Linked DNA regions of Mus musculus: regions 1 and 2 are each reported to be linked to region 3. Evidence: microRNA targets listed by miRTarBase, many of them from high-throughput screens and not tested one by one. Region 3 holds a microRNA gene; each other region holds the end of a gene's coding sequence. Distances are from middle to middle.

Evidence for each region. The annotated mature microRNA mmu-miR-466k reads UGUGUGUGUACAUGUACAUGUGA and lies in region 3 at 2,114-2,136, shown strand. An mRNA with a match to its seed (bases 2 to 7 or 8) in the 3' UTR can be bound and repressed. Matches are read on the target gene's strand: a 7mer-m8 pairs with bases 2 to 8, a 7mer-A1 pairs with bases 2 to 7 and ends in A, and an 8mer does both.
Region 1: the mRNA of Shisa6 is a reported target of mmu-miR-466k. Seed matches in the 3' UTR shown: 7mer-A1 at 1,759-1,765, 8mer at 1,757-1,764, 8mer at 1,755-1,762, 8mer at 1,753-1,760, 8mer at 1,751-1,758, 8mer at 1,749-1,756 and 12 more.
Region 2: miRTarBase lists Sike1 as a target of mmu-miR-466k. Seed matches in the 3' UTR shown: 7mer-A1 at 2,165-2,171, 8mer at 2,166-2,173, 8mer at 2,168-2,175, 8mer at 2,170-2,177, 8mer at 2,172-2,179, 8mer at 2,174-2,181 and 12 more.

Annotation. Positions count from the first base shown.
Region 1 is chr11:66,214,225-66,218,859 of GRCm38, forward strand. Shisa6 (shisa family member 6) reads right to left here. Exons shown (of 5, transcript NM_001034874.3): 5 at 1-3,798. The coding sequence ends at 3,248. The region is part of intron 1 of Gm12296 (predicted gene 12296); the gene reads left to right. Among named protein-coding and RNA genes, the nearest start is that of Dnah9, 48 kb to the left of the region's middle.
Region 2 is chr3:103,000,481-103,005,115 of GRCm38, forward strand. Sike1 (suppressor of IKBKE 1) reads left to right here. Exons shown (of 5, transcript NM_025679.3): 5 at 1,228-3,434. The coding sequence ends at 1,329. Among named protein-coding and RNA genes, the nearest start is that of Sike1, 7.1 kb to the left of the region's middle.
Region 3 is chr3:85,465,283-85,469,917 of GRCm38, forward strand. Mir466k (microRNA 466k) reads left to right here and starts at 2,095; the gene lies at 2,095-2,216. All of the region lies in intron 1 of Gm31419 (a long non-coding RNA gene), which reads right to left.

The DNA of each region.
Region 1 (4,635 bases), not on the chromosome of region 3:
ATGCAGCCAAGAGTTCACTGGAGGGGGTAAGAAAGGAGTGGTGATGGATGGGTGTGGTAAGAGATCTTCAGGAAGAATACTTGGGGTAAGTGAGACCTATACATACCTAAGTCCAGGGCAGTGAAGACATGCAGAAGGAAGTCTTGGGTTTCCTTGGGATATGAGTGTTTATCACAAGGGGTCCGTGCCCCTCCTATGTGACAGAGGATACCAGCCTGCTTGGGTTAGAAGCAGTGACCAGGGTTCCAGCCCCAGACACTCTCAAGTGACTTCATATAGCAACAGAGCTAGCTGGTTCTGGAGTGACAGATGAGTTGAGGGGATCTAGTGGTTTTCCCTTATCACTGAGGGATAAGCTCCAACAATCCCATTGGGTGCTCGAAACCACACATAGTCCCACACTCTCTATATAGGTATTGTGTTTTTCTTCGTATACATACAATAAAGTTTAATTTGAAAATTAGGCACAGAAAGAGATTGACAATAATAAAGTAGGGCAAGTTATAAGAATATACTGTAATAAAAGCTATGTAATTGTGGACTCTCTCAAAAGAGTTAAGACAAATATAAATATTTCTGGATCATGGTTGTCTACAGGTAATTGAAATGGAGTCATGCAAAACTGAAGATGGGGGTTGGTTACTGTTTTTTCCATGTCCCAGTTAAGACACAGTTTTCTGGAGTTTGGAGGGGGGACTGGATTAACATAGTTTGTAGAGTTATATTTGTTATTGTTTTCCTTCCAAGGATGAAGCACAAGAAAAGCCTTCAGGAGAAGCAAGCATTACATTAGAATTTTCTGATGTAACTGATGCCAGGTACTTTATACCAGATGGTGATAAGGCAGGGATGAGAAATAGTTTGGAAAACAACTTATCAAACAGCCCCTGAGACAGACAGACAGACAGACAGACAGACAGACAAGAAGCTAGACAGACAGACACATTGTGAGAGCCAAGGCTGGGGGAAGAGCCTGGGATAAGGTCTTGCTCCCCAAAGGCTGCAAAACTTGGTGTCTGAAAGATTTTCCATGGGATGTACAAACACATGGGAGGGGATTCTTGCCCACCACAGTCTTGCCCTTCCCCCTTTGCACCAGCACATGGCCTTCAAAGAGACTGGCTAAGGGTTAAGGAGAGTTACAAGGTGCTGGGCTGGGGGCCAGCTGTCAGACACGCCTTTGCTTCTGAAAGTGAGCCATTCTCTATTTGGATTGAGTTCCTCTCTTCCTGTGAGCCTTACCTTCTGCAACAAATGCTCATAGACCCAATGGGGACCAGCCCTTAAGAAGGTTTGTATTTGCAGGGAGCAAAGCAGAATGGCCACATAGTGCCAGGGACACCCCCTCAGTGGGGAGGCTAAGGACTACCTTTAGAAACCCCAGTTTCAATCCTTCTGGGTTATGCAGAACATAGCTGCTCATGGAGGGGGGGGATTCTGGGAAGGGGCTCAGGAGAACCTACAGCTCTTGAAAGTAGGAAGGGAAAGCAGTCCTCTGGCTTCTCTGTGGCTCTCTAGACTTGGCTGGATTAAAGATGACCAGAGTGAATGCAAGCTTCTCACCATCTCACTTTTAAGGGTTATCCATGCAGAACTGGGGGCAGGGGTATAAAATCTGATGTAAGGGCATTGCTGCTGGAGTCTGGTAAGTGATGGTTTTATCTCTCCACAAGACATTCTGGACTGATTCTCCCCAGTCCCAGAGAGGTGCTCTGGCCCTCAGAAGTGTGTGTGTGTGTGTGTGTGTGTGTGTGTGTGTGTGTGTTTTGTCTCATTGTCTTCTTCCTTCTGATCTTGGATCAGTAGCTGGTTACATCTTGTCCCCCTTCAGGTTGGAGGCAAAGATGGGGCTGAGCTGGGCTGGCAATGGGGTCTTTCACAGAGCTGAAGATGCCTCTGCCATATGCCCAAGCATTCCTGCAAGGAAGAAAGCTCAAAACAGTCCCCAGAGCAACATCCTGGGACACCATTATTTATTTGCATCTGCCAATGGATCTTGGTCCCTTGGATCCACTGACTGAGAAAAGTAATGGAGCTGCAGACAGCAAGGTGGGAGATAGGTCTGGGAGAGAACAGAGGGAGAAAGAAAGGGTTCTAAACAGAAAAGGGGTGGTGGTGTGGGCAAAGATGATGGAAAGGACTGGGAAGGGTCTAGCATGACCACCTCAGAGGGTTCCTGCTTTTTTGAGGGCTAAGCTTCTTCTGTCTGTGTCTGGAAACTTCTGCCTGAGGCTCATGGATGGGGGGACAGGCAGAGCCCTAGAAAATGGAAATGGTGAGCCCCTGAGACCCTGGGCATCACAGTGGTCCTCCCGACCCTAGCTCTCTGCCCACCGCAGGTGCCTCCTGGGAGCAGAGCTCAGGTGAAGAAGGCAGGCCTGAGAGGAGGTCCTAGTTCAGACCTGAGGCCTGGAGGAAGTAAGGAGACAATCAGGCGGTTGCCGAGGCACCTCTAAAGTCCTGGCAACCTGTCGCTACTCCTCTCTGGAGGGCAAGGGCTAATGCCCCCTCTTGGGGGCAAGAGCTTAAACCCCAGAGAGCTTTGAGGAGAAACAGTGAATGCTGGGAGAACAGAGTCCCCACAGCAGAGGCAGGGGCAACCAAGCAGCTGCAGGAAGGGACCCCTCCCCGTTGTTGGGCTGCAGGGCTCAGCGAGGGAAGGGCCACTCGGTAGAGACCAGAGTTCCAGCAGGCGGAAGAGAATCATATTGTGCTTATGGACACAGCAGCTCTCTGGCTGAGAGCGAGCAGGCAGTTTTTAGGCACTAAGAGATTATCTGCGATGCAGTTGTAGATAAAGGAAGAAGACCGAGTAGCCTATTCGGTCAGCCCACTGACTGCACCCTCTAGCCAGCTAGCTGTTCAAACTCAGGCAGCTTCCGATTACCTTCAGGAGAGGGTCCACTGGTTGGCAGAACCCGCAGCTGAGTCCCCAGGAAGGGGCGGGGCAGGGACTGAGGGAGTGGTGTAGGTGTTCGAAAGACTTGAACCTCACTACACTTCTCATCTACAGGGGAAGTCTACTGGGAGAGAAAGAGCTTTAAAGAGCCTAGGTCCGTGCTTGTTGGACCAGGCATTTGGTGCCATCTCCCTGGGGGTATGGCTTTCTGGACAAAGGCAGCCCACCTCCAGCTTTAATGGGGGGATCCAGGGAGGGGAGGAGAGCAAGGCGGGATGCTCCTCGCCCCTGCCCTACTCTGCTCTGTCCTGCCCTGACTCTGCCAAGCAGCCCTGGCCACATTGTTGGTCACACGGTCACTTCAGTCTTGCTGGCTGTGTAGCAGGTGTGATGGCCTGGGATATAGTGTAACTGCTCCACCGTGTTGTGTCTGCGAGAGGCAAAGGCGTGGCGCTTGGCTGCTGTCTGGCTCTGGCCCAGGGTGGCATAGGAGTTATTGGAGGCACTGGGATGGGAGTGCATCTTGGTCATGCGGTAGCGGTCCAGCACTGGCGTGGACACAAAGACGTCCGTATGCGAGATGGCCCGCGACAGCGACTGCTCCGGGAAGGCTGTCCTCTCTGGGGACAGCAACGGGTCCTGGGAGTGCAGGCGCTCTGTGGAGAGCAGCTGTTCATCAGACAAGATGCGGTCATAGGGCATGCCGAATTCATCTGGCAATCCCCGACGTGGAGACAAGACCCTGTCCTGGGACATGGCCCTGATGGGCCTGCGTGGCCGTTCTCGAGGAAGTGGCTTCTGTTGAGACATCTGGATGACATTGAGGGGGAGGGTACCACGGGCTGCAAGGTCTGGCAGGTGCCTCCTTCTCATGTAATACTCATCAGCTTCCTTGTCCGCTGCGAGGAGACAGAGAGAATGCAGTGAGGTGATGGGGCAGCCACAATCCAGGGAGTAAGGTGTTCATGTGTGGTGTATACATGTGCACATGCGCAAGCAAACACCACATACCTGAAAACCTACAAGGATAATGAAGTCAAACTCCTTTAGTTAGTAGAGTATGTGGGGGAGGGGGGGGGCGAGAGACAGACAGGTGACCTTAACTCCCTCCTCTACTGTATACACAAACCAATCCTTGAGCGCTTGTGAAAGATGGGCCCTGATTCAGGGTCACTAACTGCCTTTGTCTCAGACTCCTATCTCCAGTGGGTCCCCCAATGCTGTCCTTCAGGGATCATCTTGGGGGTCAGTTAAATGACTTCCCCATCCGGCTCATAGTGGCACTGATGGCAAGCTCAGGGCATTCTTTTTTTTTTTTTTTTTTTTGGCTTGCCTGCTGTGTCTACTGCATGTGGTTCTGAAGTAGATTGGTTCCTGGTCTTGCTAAAAACAACCCAGGTAGAGCTGACAGCTTTCCTATGATGGATAGAGCACTTCTTTATGGAAACTGGGCACAGAACCAGCTTCTGTCAGAATTAAGTAGGATGCTCATCTAGGAGGCGTTTGTGACTAGCTTCACTGGTAACCTAGGAACCTAGTAACACCTTCTCTGGAGTAGCAACCAATGTACAGGGAACCAACACATGGGTATCCAGCCCCCACACAGCTATATCATCAGCCTACATGTACTCCTCGTGCCCACCAGGCAGCAGGCTGTAGCAATACTGGGTGAGCATTTTGCTCAGATGCATTGGGCTCCTGTCCTAGTCGGTTCTCCCAGAATTGTCCTATGGATC
Region 2 (4,635 bases), 18 Mb from region 3:
TCTGATGCCCTCTTCTGGCCTCCAAGGGCACTAGGCACTCAGATGGTGCTCGTACATAAGTGCATGCAAAACAATACATACACATAAGTAAAAAATAAATCAAGAGAACTGAGAAGCCGTTTATATGGTAGAGGATTTGTTCAACCTCTTGGTGAAGCTGGAAATGCTGTAGTTTATCTTGGTGTCCGTAAAGATCTGGACATGGCAACACACACCTGTAATTCCAGGACTTAGAAACAGAAGGGTCAGGAGTTCCAAGCCAGGCCTCACCTCACCTACTACATAAGACCCTATCTCAAAATAGACAATAATTTTCTACAAAAAGGATAAGGATAGAGTGTAGCCTATCCTTAGCTAAAAAAGAAAGTGATAGGTGTCAATTATCAAAATTAGTAATTAAATTAGGGACAGAGAGATGGCTTAGTGGTTAAAAGCCCTTGTAGCTCTTACAGAGGATCTGGTTTGATTCCTAGCACCCATATGGTGGTGACTCACGACCTATGTAACTCTAGTCCCAGACCAACAGTGCCCTCTTCTGACCTTCCAGGGTACCAGCTATGCACATGATGCACAGACATCCATGGAGGTAAAACATTCATACACATAAGATATTGAAATAAATCTAAAATGAAAAGGCTTAATCGTTTAAAGTCCAGGTGTGGCAGAGCATACCTCTAGTAATCTGGAGGCAAGGTCAGGCAGGTATCTGTTTAAGGTCAGTGTGATCTGCATATCAATTTCTAGGCCAGCAAACTCCACTCAGTAGGACTTTGTCTTTAAAAAACAATTTTTTAAGCGAGCAATGGTGACGCACACCTTTAATCCCAGCACTTGAAAGGCAGAGGCAGGTGGATTTCTGAGTTCAAGGCCAACCTGGTCTACAGAGTGAGTTCCAGGACAGCCAGGGCTATACAGAGAAACCCTGTCTCGAAAAACCAAAAAAAGGGCTGGTGAGATGGCTCAGCAGATAGGAGCACTTGACCGCTCTTCCGAAGGTCCTGAGTTCAAATTCCAGCAACCACATGGTGGCTCACAACCACCCATAATGAGATCTGATGCCCTCTTCTGGCACATCTGAAGACAGCTACAGTGTACTTATGTATAATAATAAATAAATCTTAAAAAAGAAAAGCCAAAAAAAAATTTTTTTTTCCTCTTTCTGGGCCAAAATAGTATGTTCTGACATAGTTTAACAATTAAAACACAGGAAATATCTTTTCTCCCCAGCTTGAAAATAAGGAACTTCGAGAGTTACTGTCCATCAGCAGTGAATCTCTGCAGGTTGGAAAAGAAAGCTCTGTGGCTCCTGCCTCTCAGACCATCAAGTAACTGGACTTCCGAAGGCTGGCTACAGCTTGCCCGTCAGAGCGAGAAGCCGTGCCCTCCTCTCCTGCCGTGTCCAAGAGTCCTGCCGCAGACTTGACTTAGTGTTGGGTAGAGGTATGGGGTGGCAGTTTAGAATTGCCACTTGGTATTCATTGTCCACTAACTAGTTTGGGGTGTACTAGTGAAACTAGACAAGTCCCCCATTGCTGGGACAGAGATGACATTTGTCACTCTAGTCCGGAATCTCTATAAACTGTTACCTGCAGTTCAATGTTGTTTTTCACAGCTTGGAAACACTGAACACTTTTATTATAAGCCAGGATTTTATTTTATATAGGATTATAAAAATTCCTTCTAAGAGTTTTTCAAAGATTTAACTTTTTAAAAATACATATTTGGTGTAAACCTAGATTTTTTTTTTCTTCCACTTGTAAAAGTAGCATGACTTCAAAGAAGCAGATTGGCAGAGTCTCTGAGTGACGTCGCTCATCCATGGGGTTTGATCCTCTCCGGTGCTAGGAGTTGGCACTTTGTGGTCAGGTGTCTTTGCTCTTAATTTGAGAGAATCTATTAGTCCCCAGGAAATACGCTTGAAAACAAGTAAGCCGGGTTCGCGTTGCTCCTCCTCCTCCTCAAGGATCCACAGTCATTCAGAGAGTGCTGAGGAACTTGGGCCTGCCCCATCATGCACAGGGAGCTATTAGATGTACATGACTGTACATGTACATTGGACTTAAATGCCAAAAATAGCTTTTATTTATTTGACCAAGTAGTTTTCCATTCTGTCTGCCTAAGGAGTCTTCGGCTTAGGTAGTTGCCTTGTATGAGACATACACATACACACACACACACACACACACACACACACACACACACATACCTCACTCACAGGTTCCTAGCTCCTAGGCACTTTCATGGACACACAGCTGTGCTGTGCTGTGCTGTGCAGAGCAGCACCACTGGGATGGTTTAGACCGGCATCAGTACTTTGCTGTCTTTCCATCTGCTGGGTTTTCTCATGGAAGCATTTTATTACTCACAGAAAGTTACCACATTCCTGATGCCATGCATTCAGGCAATCAAGAACAACCTGAGATTCTAATAGCTCCCTGTCAGTTCCTTCTCATCTTGGTTTGCTCATATGTCAGGTTTATAAATAATTCCTTTTGCACTGTTTGCCCAGATGGACTTTGGTTTTTGTTCCCATGTTAACTTTCACTCCAGCTGCTCCCCTTGATGTTTCCCCTAAGGGCCCCAAGTGTGTACTCCACAAACCCATTCAGGGGTGGGTTCCTTTACCACTTGTCAGCTGTCACAGCAGGTCCCATCACAGTGAGAGCATTATCAGTCAGTCTATTTCAGCAGTGAGCATGGTGTCCCTTTCTTTATCTGCCTTCTGTTCCCGTAGCACTCACTACAAAGGTCTTTGCATCTAGCTTTCAGAGGAATCTCTCCATTGCAGTCCTGAGGGTAGAGCAAGCTTTCGGTGCCCTGTGTCGTATAAATTCTGCCTGGTGTTAGTGCTGTGAAGGCATTGCAGAGCTAGCACATTGAATGGAGAAAGAATGTTTCACACTTGTGTGAAGATGCTAATATCTCTTGCAATGGGTGGAAGTATTTAGTGTATAAAATTTTAGTATGAAATTATATTAACTAATAAAAACCTTTTTGAGAAGATTTGCTCATTTTACTGAGAAATGAGTCTAAGAAGTTGAGCTGGAAAAAAAAAGGAAGTTTAGCTGAGCAGTGGCGATGTACACCTGCAATCCCAGCACTTGGAAGGCAGAGGCACATCTCTTGAATTCGAGGACATGCAGGTTTACCTAGTGAGTCCCAGGAGACTACACAGGGAGACCCTGTCTTGAAAAAAGCAAAAAGAAGTATAGGAGATTTTTTTCACATATTCACATACATAGCAACCATGGCAAGTGTTCATGACATAGATGTCATAAGCAGCTTGCAATTATTCAATATATTCAGCAGTATAAACCTTTGAAAAGCACATTAACAACCTATTCATTGCAGAAGTCCTGAATGTATAATTTACCACTGAAGTCTATTTCCATGTTTCTTAAAATGCACCTAATGAAATAGAAATTTATGGATGGAATCTGGAATTTACATCTTAATAATCATTCCAGAAAACGGCAGTACCGGTTTAAGAACATGTCTGTTAGGGCTAGGAGATGGCTCAGCAGGTCTAAGTGCTTACCATGAAGTCAGATGGCCTGAGTTCAATTCCTCAGAACCCACATGAGGGAAGGAGAGAACCAACTTCTAAAAATTACCTTCTGACCTACAACACACAAACAGATAAATTGTGTATGATGTTCTGTGCAAATTATTTCACTAGGAGTTAAAAACAAACCGACTTTAAAATGAGAAGAGTGGTAAAGGGATATTACAGAGGGGTGGGATATAGCAGCGCTATTCCCCTCTATGCTGCCTGCCCGATAGCAGCAGATAAATTGGGCATGGTGGCACATGCCTGTAATCCCAGAATTTGGAGCAGAAGCAGGAAGAGCAGAAATCCAAGGTCATTCTTGGCTACATAGTAAATTCAAAACCAGCCTGGGCTACAAGAGACCCTGTCTCAAAAAACTAAACAAAATGTTGTGCAGATAATTTTGATGCAGTGTGTTACATCAGATGTAAGTGTAGGATACAGCACAGAAAGGGCTGTGTTATTTGAGAATCTAAAAGTTGACCAGGGAAGGGGGTGGGGGAGGGGTGGTGCTAGGAGAAAACATAGAAAACAGCTGCAGAATCGAAGTCCAGGGGGTCCTGCAATGGTTACTTCCTTATACTAAGGGGTTTTCTGTGTCAGCTGACACAGCATCCCCGCTTCAGTTCTTTACAGTTCCATACATACTAGAAGGTTCTAATTTGTCCAAAGTGGAGCCAAGAATCACACTCAGGCACTCTTCAGCACATTTCTTAAGGACCAAGTTAAGGCACCTTTAAATGCACATAACTGTGGAGTTCATGGATCTTGATCGGCAAAGTCAGTCAACAGGTTAATTAACAGGGTAAGAGAGACACTATGGCCTGTGTGTTGTGAATACCGTGACTTCTGTTTAGTTCACGCTGCTGCATGGTCCCTAGAATGCTGTGCCTGTGAGTGGTCCTCAGTGTGGAGGGAAGGGTGCATTTCTGCACAGGGTGCCTTTTTCCACGTTGGCTCCGTCTGTGATGCTGTTATCTTGTTATAGGCTACTGCTGTGTCAGATGTCATGCCCATGTGGAAGACAGGGAAAAAATAGAAAACTGCCTGCCCTACACTACAGACACATGGGGAAAGCAAACGTT
Region 3 (4,635 bases):
ATTAATTAGAAGTCAGGATCAGGATTATATTACTCTCCTAGGGTTCCTCCTTCCTCAAGATTTAGTTTCTATATGTGCACAGTTTAAGCAGGCACAGTCAACTGACTATGAAAGCAGAGACAACAGGAGAGAAGACGAGTCCAGGGCTGGAGACTGGATACCACTGACTTCTGCTTCTACACGTGGAGCAGATATATACAGTATCCTTGAGGCAGAAGGAGACAGACACTCTCATCCAGGGATATAGCTGACAGAGAAGAGACATCCACCCCCATACACACATCTCATCCCATCGTCTCTAACATCTGCATACTTGCACTTCACAGCTCACAAGTCTAACCTTCCCAGGTAACTGGCCCATTTGGGTCTGGTGTACCTTCAATCTCTCTTTTTTTATTTTCTTAAAAGAAACATTTGAGAGCTGAGCATCTAAGATGGCTTTGGATTCACACCCACTGTCTGTGGAACAGCTTGAGGCTGACAAGATTAGCTCGCTGGAACGCTCTGGGATCCGTTCAGCCTAAGCTGCTGCCCACACACCAGCCTTGCTCACAGAAGCTGCTTTCCGCAAGCAGCAGCCCGCTTCACCTCCTCCATCCTGGCTCGTGGAACTGGTCCTTGATGTCCTACCTGGTCTTGAGGACAGTGGCTTCCAGCCTCAACCAGTCCTCATTCCCAGATTCCAGGATGTGACCATGGTGATGTCTCAGCCTCTCCAGAGGAGTCCGAAGGGTGATACTTCTGTCCTTCCTCCTCCCATGTCTAATCACCTGATTTTACAGAACCCAGCATAGCGAGCAGTGCTGCAAGCTTCCTTCCCCTCCCTCGGCTCTCTTCTTCTGTCCCTTCTTTCTGTAATATCCAAGGGGACCAGACAGAGTGGGCCTTGATAACACACATTCCCTTGGCTCCAGAGCAGTAGCTTCTAAAACCTGTAAATAAGACAGCTCTATGCCCCTGTGTAGACATACACCCCAAGGATAGGCTGGCTCCCTGGTACCTGTCCAGAGTTGAGAGTTCAAAAGACAGACCAGTGGATAGAAATGCTATCATGCCCACCCACCCCCACCCCGCCAAGCAAGGCCTGCTGGCTCATGTACCTGGCCAGACATTACATGAGCAACGGGCAGTAATTGTTGTCTAATCTCTTCCCAGAGGTTTCAACTAGTTCCAAACTGTTGTGGCTAATAAAAACAGAGAAGATTTGCAAGAAATTCCAGGTGCATCGGAACACTTTGGGGGATTGTGCAGCCTGCAGGCAGACGAAACTTAACTCAAATAAACATAAGGTAATATGTGTTGGCAAAAGTAACCTGAAGTGGGAGTATACAACTGTACGTTTCAAATTGGCTGCTGCCTGTAAGGATGGAGATTGGTAGTAGCTCAGAATGGATGAAGTGGGCAGAGTAGCCAATGTGCATCCCAGAATAACCGAGGCAAATCAGATCTCATCTCACACAGACCCCATCAGTGGCCCAAGATGGAGCACATGACAGATTCCGCAGTCCCACTTTCTACTTTAAGGATGAGGAGACATCGTGGAGTGGCCTCCAGATTTAGGGGTCTCCTGTGAGCCAGGAATGTGTGGTCATGTTCTCAATGGAGCGAGTAAAAGAAAGTGTCTGTTTTTGTTCATTGAAGTCATTGACTCCAAGCCCTGGAAGCTGCCATGTTACCTCCATCTGCTGCCTAACTCTCAGGGCCACATTTAGATAAAGAGCCGAACTTCTGAACTGCAACAGCCCTGGACTTCAGTCAATTCCCTACTTTCTTACAGAAAAGAAAATATTGAAAAGCTGTATTATGGTGTCTTATATGAATGTGCTAGTTTCCAGGATGGGAGGGGCTGTATATTCACCTATATTCACACACATATACATGTGTGCATGTGATATACATTCATGTACACCCTCCTATAGAAATAAGTGTATGTGTGTGTGTGCATGCATATGTGTATATGTGTATGTATGTGTGTGCATATACACATGGGTGTGCATGTGCATGAGTGCATGTACGTGTATATGCATGTTCTCTATTGATATGTGTGTGTGTGTGTGTGTGTGTGTGTGTGTGTGTGCAGGTGTGTATATACATATATATGTGTGTGTGTGTGTGTGTGTGTACATGTACATGTGAGTATGTGTGTGTATATGTTTGTACATGTGCATGTGTGTGAGTATGTGAATATATGTGTATATGTGTGCATGTGCATGTGTGTGTATGGTGAGTAGGTGTTACTAATTGTGACTCCGATGGCTGTGTCTCCATCTGGCCTAGGTGACAGGTAAGCAACTGCACTGATCTTTCACAGGTAGCAGCAGCCTTATAGGGCAGGAGAAGACTGGCACCTCTGCACTGGCCGTGACCTTACCTGCAAGCCCCCGAGGAACAGGAGCTTTTTTACTCCTCCATCTTCTGGCTTCCCAAGCAGGTGCTGATATCTTGACAGGGAAGGGGAAATGCTCTGTCCTGGCCCTCTTGCCTCACAGAACTAAAAGCTAAACATGGCTTCAACTACCTCAGCGGCTTTCTTCTCCCACAACCACATGCAGTAGAGAGGCCCAGCGCTGCAGAATACATCTGTGATAGGAGAGGAGAGCTTGGATCTGGAATGTTCTAGAAAGTGATGGAATAATTTGAAATCCAAACTGTCTAAAGGCTGAAGAAGAAAGGAAGCCATTGCCACCTGCAGGAAGCAGCCAGGTCCTTTTGACCTCTCAAAGTTCTTGGCTGTGAGGTTCCATCATTCAGCTGATAAAACAGAGGAACAAATGTTACACAGGGAAGTTCACAGGAAAAGGGTCAGTACAGAGTGTGCAGAGCTTCTGGTGGTATAAAAGCCAGTCACTGAAAACTAGGGACATGTCCTCAGTCCTTGAGACCTGAAGTCATCTCTTCTCTTCTAAGCATCCATTATACCCAGGATTCCACAGCCCTAGGCCTTCTGGAAACAAACTTCATTTCCCCAAAAATTGTCTGCTACCCTAATGCCACCGGAACAAGTTTTTTAGCTCTTGGGTTATAGCTCAATGATGAAACACTTGCCCAGCATATACAAGACCCCAGATTCCACCTCCAACAACAACACAAAGCACGCCAGTACATCTCAGCCTGTGCAGAGGCTCAAATTTCGAAGGAAATAGGAAATAGATTCATTCATTCATTTAGTGACTCTTTCTCTTCTGCTGTGTATGAGACGCTGTGTTAGGCAACACCAGAAATAAGGTAAAGATTTAGCAGGTGACCACAAACGAGAAAGTGCAGTGCGTTCTCCACTTTAATCAGAGCAAGCCAGCAAATAAAATGTTCTAGGCAGTTTGTCTTGGCACCAGCCACAGGAATTTACCTGTGACATCCTAATAAAGAGGACACTGAGACATGACATCCACAAGGACTTGATTGGCTCTCCTGGAGCTGATTGTGCACACCAACCCCCAGGAAATAAGGCCAGGAGGTCTGTGGTGAAGCCTGAGTGTCCACGGTCCAACTGGGTCCTGGGTAACGTGGAAGCTGTTGTGAGTCTTGTCCTCAGAGACATGTATATAGAAAGACTCTAGTTCACCTCACTCTACTGAGCTGCATCTTAGGAAGGGCAATTAAATCCTAGCTATCACCCTGCAGCTGACAGGGCACACACACACTGCCAGCTCTCAACTAACTGGTCACACCCAGGGTATTTTCAGGCTATTATTATTATTATTATTATTATTATTGTATCTCAGAATATTTATATGAATAGCAGAGGAAAAAATATTTATTTACTTCCTTTTAAACATTTTTTTTTCTAAGTCTAACTTTTCATATTGTTGGGAGGCTACAAACTCAAGATTGTTTCCAAGGGATACCTGGAAAGCTAGGATGTCACCAGAATGTAGGACCATCTGCTACAGCAGATACTACTTCCTCCCTTGAGCTGAGAGACTTGGAAAGATTGACCCCAATTAAGAAGATGGGGGAGCAGGCAGGATGAGGAGGGAAGGAGGGAGGTTTTAGATAATGCGATGGTGTATCTAAAGCCACTGATTCGGGAAGAAACAGAGAGAGAGAGAGAGAGAGCACACCAGATCCAGCTGGCCTCTAGCTCTCTTTCCCTCCACCCAGACTGATATGTGTGAGCTGTCCTCTCTCCTCCTCCAGTTGTCTGCACAATGCCACCGCTCAGGTCACCCCATGTCACTGTTTCCTTCTGCCCTTGCCAGGGCCCACTGTCTCGCTAGTTCATTTCACTGCATTTAGCACCGACAGTGACCCACAGAAGAAAATACAGTAGAGGACACAGCCAATACGAAGCCCCAAGGCAGGAACAGCTGCTATCATGTAATCAGTAAGGGCAAGAGGATCCAAAAACAAGCCATTAGAGAGAATGCCACGAGGTGGGCCCTCGAGAGTGCTTTGGAGTCTGTACCAGTCATCAGTTGCTGCATGGCAACCACAAACATCCAGTAGTGCCCACCAAGAAGCCTGTTGTTTCCACTGCCCAGTAGTGCATGGATAAGGGCAGCTGACCTTCACAGCCTCGGTCCGGGGCCTGAGAGCAGAGTAGGAGGAGCAGTTTACAATAGCAGCACCCGAGGCCAGCAAACCCAATGGCATAGGCGCCTGCCAATCTTCCATAGGGGTCAAGACCACGCCCAT